Linked DNA regions of Xenopus tropicalis. The protein of the gene in region 1 interacts with the protein of each later gene in a biochemical or structural test. Links are inferred from orthologs where the notes say so. Each region holds a gene or a part of one and is shown on either strand. Other genes may lie near its edges.

Region 1 (4,116 bases):
GAAGTTTAATGAGTTACATACACAAGCTGAAGCAGAGGGATAGAACGGCATGTCCAGGAAGGTATGTCGAAAATATATAGAATAATTATGAGACTATAAGAATTAGTTTATATAGGGAATAATGTATCACCTATTGTAAAATATAAGATTATTATACCGATGTTCCATGACCAGGCACAAAGACCGAGTGTTGAGTGCTTTTCTACAGGTCACTAAACTATGAATTTATGATATCATCATATTTTACAGCAGGGACCAGGTCCAGACTGGAATTCAAAATAGGCCCTTGCATAAAAAGTACCCAGAGGCCCAAACAGCTCCCCACCAGCCCAAAGAAATAGTGACTGTCTATGGCATCTTAGAGCATCCAGAATCCAGAGATTGCCAGTCAAGGGCTGACAGGGGGTACATTTTTTTTTTTTTAATAAACATGTCATGTGACACAAATTACATCATTAAGCACCAATTATAACTGCATCACTAATAACAGCATCACTAAGCTCTGTTTAGTTGGATAAAGTTTACAGAAGAGTTGTGCCTCTTGTGTATTATATAGATCACTCCTTATATGAGGGTTCTGTGGTCCACTGGCTAATACTGTTTAAAATGTTTTGAAGAAGGAACAGCTTCAAATGGTAGTATCTTTCTTTTGCAAAACACATATAAAAAATATGGCCCATGGAACTCAGGGAAGGCTGGGAACCACATCAATAAACCCCATCAACTTTACGTAGCAAAAGCGTCCACCCTATAGCATAGCTTATGCCCCACAGAGAGATTAGTTGCCCATGATAAATCTATGCTACCGTGGGCGACTAATCACCCCATACTGATTGGCTGCACTGGGGGGGGGCATGCCGCCCTAGGCCCGGGGCTTTGTGGCCAACGTGTCGCTTCATTTTTCTGAAGTTGTACGAAGTTACTTCCTGCAGGCAACTTGGTGCAACCTTAAAAAAATGAAGTGATGCGTAGATCTTTCCACCAGCGATTCTCTTTGTTGCCGGTGGAATGGCTTTTTAGGGAGATTAGTTTCCCGTGGTAACAGGGATGTATAACGGGTGACTAATCGCCCTGTTGGACATTAGCCTAAGAGCAGGAAGAGGCCTATGAGTTCCATATTTGCCAGTCTCTTAAGCTGAAAGATCATAGATAAATGCCTGCAGTATAAACAAACCAAAGCATATGAAATATCCCTTACCTCAGGAAATATGGCTTGGCGTAGAATTTGAAGTCATCGCCTTCGATGTAAATATCAATTTCTGAAGCTCTGGCATACGGAACCTTGATAATTATTGTAAGAAAATCTGAATCTTGACTAATGTCAAATGCAGGGGTTATCATGATTTCCACTAGAACAGAAATGATGAAAGTTGCTCAATGTTTGATCCATAACCCAGACAACAAAACCACCAATAATCAAATTGAATGACCAATGTGTGGAAGAAGGATATGTGTATGGAGGAAAATAGAAGGTCTGCCAAACCAATATCAATGGTGCTGGCTATAAAATCCCATTGGGCAAGTATCACATTGGAGCTAGCCATCAAACCACTGCAGCTAATATTACTGGCATAACTAAAGGAGTTCCCTGTCTCCTACCCGACTGGGATATGTGGGATATGGAGGAAAATATAAGGTCTGCCAAACCAATATCAATGGTGCTGGCTATAAAATCCCATTGGGCAAGTATCACATTGGAGCTAGCCATCAAACCACTGCAGCTAATACTACTGGCATAACTCCTACCCGACTGGGATATGTGCACTAACTGTATTGTGCAAGCACCAATTAGGTATGACAGAGGATTGCCAAGGTAACATATCTAGTCATTTTAGTGTGTGTATAGAAGACTGATGGTAGCCAACCCTTTATTTTCCTCGCAGTTTAGTAACTGTAGACAATAGAGGAAATTGTTTTGTTCCATAAAAGGGGAAGTCAACCCTTATTGATCTTTCATTGGATTCCACCTTCCTGCATGTTATAGAGCCTGGGCAGAGGAAGGCCCAGAAGGTGAAGCTAATGGTGGGTAGTTCACTCCAGGAGTGAAAGACAGGCTTAGAGTATCTAGTGAGCAACATGAAGCTCCACCAAGGACAATAGAAGGGTTAAAGTCCTAGTTGTACCACCCTAAGGATAGGGGGAAAAAGTGTCCAGAACTAGTTTGCCTAGGTTCCACTTATAGGACCTCATACTGAGGATTGGACATTTCGGTGTTGACTAAATAAATGTTCAGTTATCGGCCCCTGATAGGGAAAAGCACTGGTTTTATTTGTGAGTATATGCTGAACACTGTAATGTATCATTTGTTTCCATTGTACAAGATATTCTTGCAAATAAAGGAAAAACACTGGCGCCTAATGTATTGATTCAGTCTGAGATGTACAGTTCTGCAACACCACAATGCAGAAAGGCCAATTCCCAGAATTCCACATGGTTTAGGTGTGTGCTAAACCAGTAGTTTTCTGGATCCCTCCACGTAACCATCACCTTACAATATATATATATATTATATATATATATATATATTTATCTCCAGTAACAGCTGGAAGGCCGCCGTATCCTCACATACATTACAGAGCCTTTCTACTAGTCACTGCCGGGGGAGATAGTCCCACAGCCATTAGCTAGCAGTAACCTTATGGGAGTAGTACCGCTCCACTACCAAGTTACACAAATCCCCAGTACAAAGCGCTGCCTCCCTCTCCTCACCTACGATCCGCGATTCTTCTTCAGCACGCTGGTGTCTTCCTAGTTCCGGGTCTACACGTGTTCCAAAAACAGCAGGAAAACGAGCGCTCCCATTGGTGCTGAGATTAAAGCGGGACCTCCCTTTGGCCAATCAAAATCCGCTATTGGCAGACTCGTTCTTGGCTTTGAAGCGGCGTAGAGAAAGGAATGTGGGGATTACGTCACTTTATTTGTGATTGGTCAGGAGTACGAAGGAGGCGGGAAGATGTGTTACCATGCTGATAAGCGCAGGATTGCAGCTTTTAGTGAGGGAGGCAGCAGCGGAACGCGTATGAATATTAGCAGATGCTTTGTGAGTTGCAGTTAAACAACAACAGCTGGTGTTTGGAGATTGTCAGCCAGGCACCTTAAGGTCATAGCTTGCTCGGTAAGTCACTGCACATTAGGTGTCCGTGACTTTTAGATTGAGTACATTGGGGCTATAAATGGGTCCCAAAATATAGTGAAATGTTCTCCTAAACAGTGTGGAACTGGTTAGGGGTTAAAAATCAATTTTACTGATTAATGTTGGGTCCCATAAGGAAGCAGTGTTGGGTCAGAGTACTAGGGGCCCTCCTGGGGTTGCCCCCTTACCCTTTTATAATTGGCCACATATTAAAACCATATTGCTAGTTATCAATTCATTTAGACGTATACTGCATGGCTGCACGTAAATCAGTTCAGTCTGCAGCATGCATCAGTTAATTGCTTCTTAGCTTTGCAGGATGTGGATTCAAGTTGTGGCCAGTATAAAAGGGGTAAGGCAGCAACCCCACCACCAGAGAACCTGACCTTAGGATCCATCCCACACACCTGAGCCTACACCTCTTCCCCTTGCAGTGCCACCCACCTGAGCCTACACCCCTTCCCCTTGCAGTGCCACCCACCTGAGCCTACACCCTTGCAGTGCCACCCACCTGAGCCTACAGCAGTGCCACCCACCTGAGCCTACACCCTGCTGCCTACACCACCTGAGCCTACACCCCTACCTTGCAGTACCCACCTGAGCCTACCCACCTGAGCCACACCAGTGCCCCTTGAGCCCACCTGAGCCACCCACCTGAGCCTACACCCTTGCAGTGCCTGAGCCTACACCCACCTGCAGTGCCACCACCTGAGCCTGCAGTGCCACCACCTGAGCCTACACCTAGTGCAACCTGAGCCTGCAGTGCCACACACCTGAGCCTGCAGCCTACTTGCAGCCCAGTGCCAGAGCCTAGTGCAGTGCCATGTAATAAAAGTGCAAAGTTTGCCCAGGCTTGTTAAACAGACAACCAGTTTCTGATGTGTTCACCAGTAAATGCAACCTGGTGATTGGTTGCTGTCGGTTACTAGACCAGTAGCAAATTTTGCACTCTTTATTGCATTGCACTCTTAAAAACTAATCGA
Region 2 (3,652 bases), on another chromosome or scaffold:
GCAGGACTATGGTTGATTTTTTCTGTAGGTAATGGCTGAACATGTGATGTATAGTTGAAACATAAACCATTGGCACATTTACTGATATAACTGCTTCAGTATAGAGTCAGGTTAGAAGTGCAAACTAAGGGTGACATTTATAGAAGTTTTTGAGACCAAAAACCTAAATTAGATAAATATGAAGGGATATTAAGTAGTGACTCTTAAAATGTCACTAGTAGGGACTGAAGATGGCATCTTACTTTGCGTTGACACCTATTCATGTGTCATTCGCCCTCTGCTGTTCATATTAACTGGCTGCCCCCATTTTGCTCTGTCCCCTCTAGGGAAAGAGTATGTGGGAATTGTACGGTTGCACAATGCGTTGGAGAACGAACTACAACTTTCACGGGTAAGGTAATGGTCTACCTTAAATTGGCTGCCAGACCTATTCCCAAATTATGTCCCAATATATGAGATTTCATGTTTGCCACACAATCAATGCAGCATGAGCACAAGACAAGTTTGAACATCAATTTTCCCCATTACTTTATCTAAAGCAAGATGGTGGCTATAGATTTCTGTTAACTTATGTCTCCTTTTTGCTAGTGGCAAATCAGTAAACAAACCAGCCTCCTAGCAAAGGTGCACTATGCAAGTTTCCTATGTTTAATGCTCGGCCAACTTTTATTCTTACTGTCCTCAGGCTTTGGAGACACTCACTGGTGCATTATTCCAGCGTCCACCTTTAATAGCTGCTGTTAAGAGGCAGTTGCGTGTAAGAACAATCTACGAGAGCAAACTAATAGAATATGACCCTGAACGTCGGCTAGGTGAGTTACTGGTCAGGTTGTCCTCAGACTTTAAATGCTATAAAAGTAGGTATTTCATGTGCGTTTAAGCAGTTAATACAAGGTGTAATGGCTTATAAGGTGTATTATGGTTTGTTAAATTTAAAATGAGATGTTGAAATGCCTTCTGGAGGTGTACTGGGAAGATATACTGTGTTCAGTCTGTATTTGAGGCACCTGTTGTGGGCCATTGAAATTTTAGAATGTATGAACACTATTTTTGCTCTGATACGGATACTTTTGATACTGGTGTGGAATTGCTCAAGGTGTCAAGAGCTATAATATTGCTTATGCTTGCAAAAGCTTTATGTACATGCTTGGGCTATGTAGAATGCAAGGTACATGACTGCTCTGATGTCTAAATACAAAATAGACCATGCCCTGTGCATAAACAGATGATGATATCTTTTTATTTAAAGGCAGCAAAGCCACTTTAACAAATGAAAGGTGGGCTCATGTTCATTGGAACAGCTTTACTGCTTTAGATGGGTATGTTGGTGTTGGTCTTCTGATGTATAAAAGAGTCTAACAAACCTTTTATGTGGTACTAATTCCTTTGTCCCCCTTCCTGCTCTTTAGGTATATTTTGGGTAAGCTGTGAGGCTGGTACATATATCCGGACTCTGTGTGTTCACATTGGCTTGCTGCTGGGGGTTGGAGGTCAAATGCAGGAGCTACGTCGTGTTCGCTCTGGTGTCCTAGGAGAGAAGGTAGGTACCATATCGATAGATAAAATTTTCTAGGTGGCATCACCTGCTGCACCCAAAAGCGTTGAGTTCAGTATGAGTTGTCTGTCTCATACTGGTAATAAGCTTTGGAACATTAATGAGCTTACAGGAAATGAAGAGTAACAGGACTCTCTATCCTGTTGCCAACAGTTCAGTATGAATATCCTAGCTAACTATGACTCCTAAATTGCTTCTCTATATAATGCCTCTGTTTCACAGGATAACCTTGTCACAATGCATGATGTTCTGGACGCGCAGTGGCAGTTTGATAACAATAAGGATGAAAGTTACTTACGCAGAGTCATCTTTCCACTAGAGAAACTTCTAGTGTCTCACAAAAGACTTGTCATGAAGGATAGTGCAGTAAGTACCTTTTTTGTGCATATAGAATTGCTGTTGCAACTTTAGTCTAAAGCTGGGGTCTGAACAAGTCTTATTACCTGCTTTCTCTCAAAAGGTCAATGCTATTTGTTACGGTGCAAAAATCATGCTGCCGGGGCTGCTCAGATATGAGGATGGGATAGAACTAAATCAAGAGATTGTGGTGATAACTACAAAAGGAGAAGCAATCTGTATTGGTAAGTCTTTGGAACTTTATATGGTGGTCACTGACTAGGGCCAGTAACACTGAAAACCACTCTATGCTCAGATTGTCGGTTACAAAGATTTGCAGTTGTATATTGGTAGAGCCACAAATTAGTTTGGCTTGTGTATGTTGACAAATATTAAAATGAGGATATATCTGAAATGGGAAGGGCTTTTTGCCATTCTAAAGAAGTGGTTATTTATATAAACATGTCACATTGAACCTAATGCACTATTTAGATTTAGTGTGTTACCATAATTTTTTTTTTTTTTTTTTTTTTGACTTGTCTTTAGTACTATTCATTCCTGACCAGCCCCAGTGACCAAAGTATAGCTTTCAAAATATCACTTTGGCTGATTACTATTTCTCTCCATATAACTGCCCATGACTAGGAAGACTAGCTTATCTGATCAGGCAGTGTTAATGAGGCTTGAACTCTTGTTGTGAAATGATGACACAGTTTATCCATTCTCTGAGCCTGCAGCCAGCCATTGCAGCTCACAGACTCCTAATGTTGTCTGTGAGTCTCTTCCCCTCTTAGTGTTGGTGATGCTGCGTCCTGCAGTGTGACCTTCACGCAGAGGTGTGTTGGGAGCAAGGGATGTGGCCAAAGGGCAAGACGAGAGAAAACTTACTGATCACTACTGCCTTAAATATCTTTCAAATTACTAGTGTGAAACAATCAGCTGACCTTGTCTTTCTCTCTTCAGCCGTAGCCCTTATGACAACTGCAGTGATATCTACATGTGATCATGGAGTTGTGGCAAAGATTAAACGTGTCATTATGGAGAGGGATACTTATCCACGCAAATGGGGACTTGGTCCTAAAGTAAGTTGACTATTCTCTTCTAATTGCCAAGAACTGGTGGGGTTGGTATTTAGCTGTAGTACTTCTTGCAAGCCACATGATGATATCTTGATAAGTCAGTAGCACAATGTGTGATGTTGACTCCTATCTATCACCCAATAACTGATGGCTTTTTTTTTTTATTCTAAATATTTATTTGACACACCAGCTGCTGCCTTTCAAAATGCTGCATTATTGAAGTTTTTTTTTTTTTTGTTCATTGCAGGCTAGTCAGAAGAAGATGATGATTCAGAAAGGCTTGTTAGACAAGCATGGCAAACCTAATGAGAGCACACCTTCAGGTTGGAAGCAGGAATATGTTGATTACAGGTTTGACTTGTTACTTATCTTTTGCACTGGCTTCCCTTGCTTTTTCATCTTAGAAACTCCTTTATACCATTAGCCAGGAAAGTGTAATCTATATTCTGAGGCTACAGCAATCCGTATTAGAAATGAGCTGACCGTTTTTTGATTAAGCTCGGGTATTTTGTTCTAACTCTTCTTTCATTTGCAGTGCTACACCAAAAATCCAGCAAGCAGCAGATGCTCCAAAGGTAATACTTATAACATTTCTTGTTGCAGGAAGTTATCCCTTACTTGTCCATCCATGGCACTTAGAGGGAGTCATCCTGCTAGATAATACAGCCATGGATACTGGGAC

What was found.
Region 2: the proteins of shq1 (region 1) and dkc1 are reported together in a solved structure, tested with the Homo sapiens proteins (2 studies listed by BioGRID, with this or other methods). The link is inferred for Xenopus tropicalis from reciprocal best matches to the Homo sapiens genes SHQ1 and DKC1.

What each region holds. Positions count from the first base shown.
Region 1 is NC_030680.2:139,959,297-139,963,412, reverse strand, and holds the start of shq1 (protein SHQ1 homolog), read right to left. Parts: upstream 2,867-4,116; 5' UTR 2,700-2,866; intron 1,350-2,699; 5' UTR 1,342-1,349; coding exon 1,199-1,341; intron 1-1,198. UniProt on the Homo sapiens protein: Required for the quantitative accumulation of H/ACA ribonucleoproteins (RNPs), including telomerase, probably through the stabilization of DKC1, from the time of its synthesis until its association with NOP10, NHP2, and NAF1 at the nascent H/ACA RNA.
Region 2 is NC_030684.2:38,923,092-38,926,743, forward strand, and holds part of dkc1 (H/ACA ribonucleoprotein complex subunit DKC1), read left to right. Parts: intron 1-326; coding exon 327-391; intron 392-685; coding exon 686-812; intron 813-1,409; coding exon 1,410-1,540; intron 1,541-1,777; coding exon 1,778-1,921; intron 1,922-2,015; coding exon 2,016-2,136; intron 2,137-2,854; coding exon 2,855-2,973; intron 2,974-3,044; exon of another isoform or gene 3,045-3,123; intron 3,124-3,217; coding exon 3,218-3,321; intron 3,322-3,505; coding exon 3,506-3,545; intron 3,546-3,652.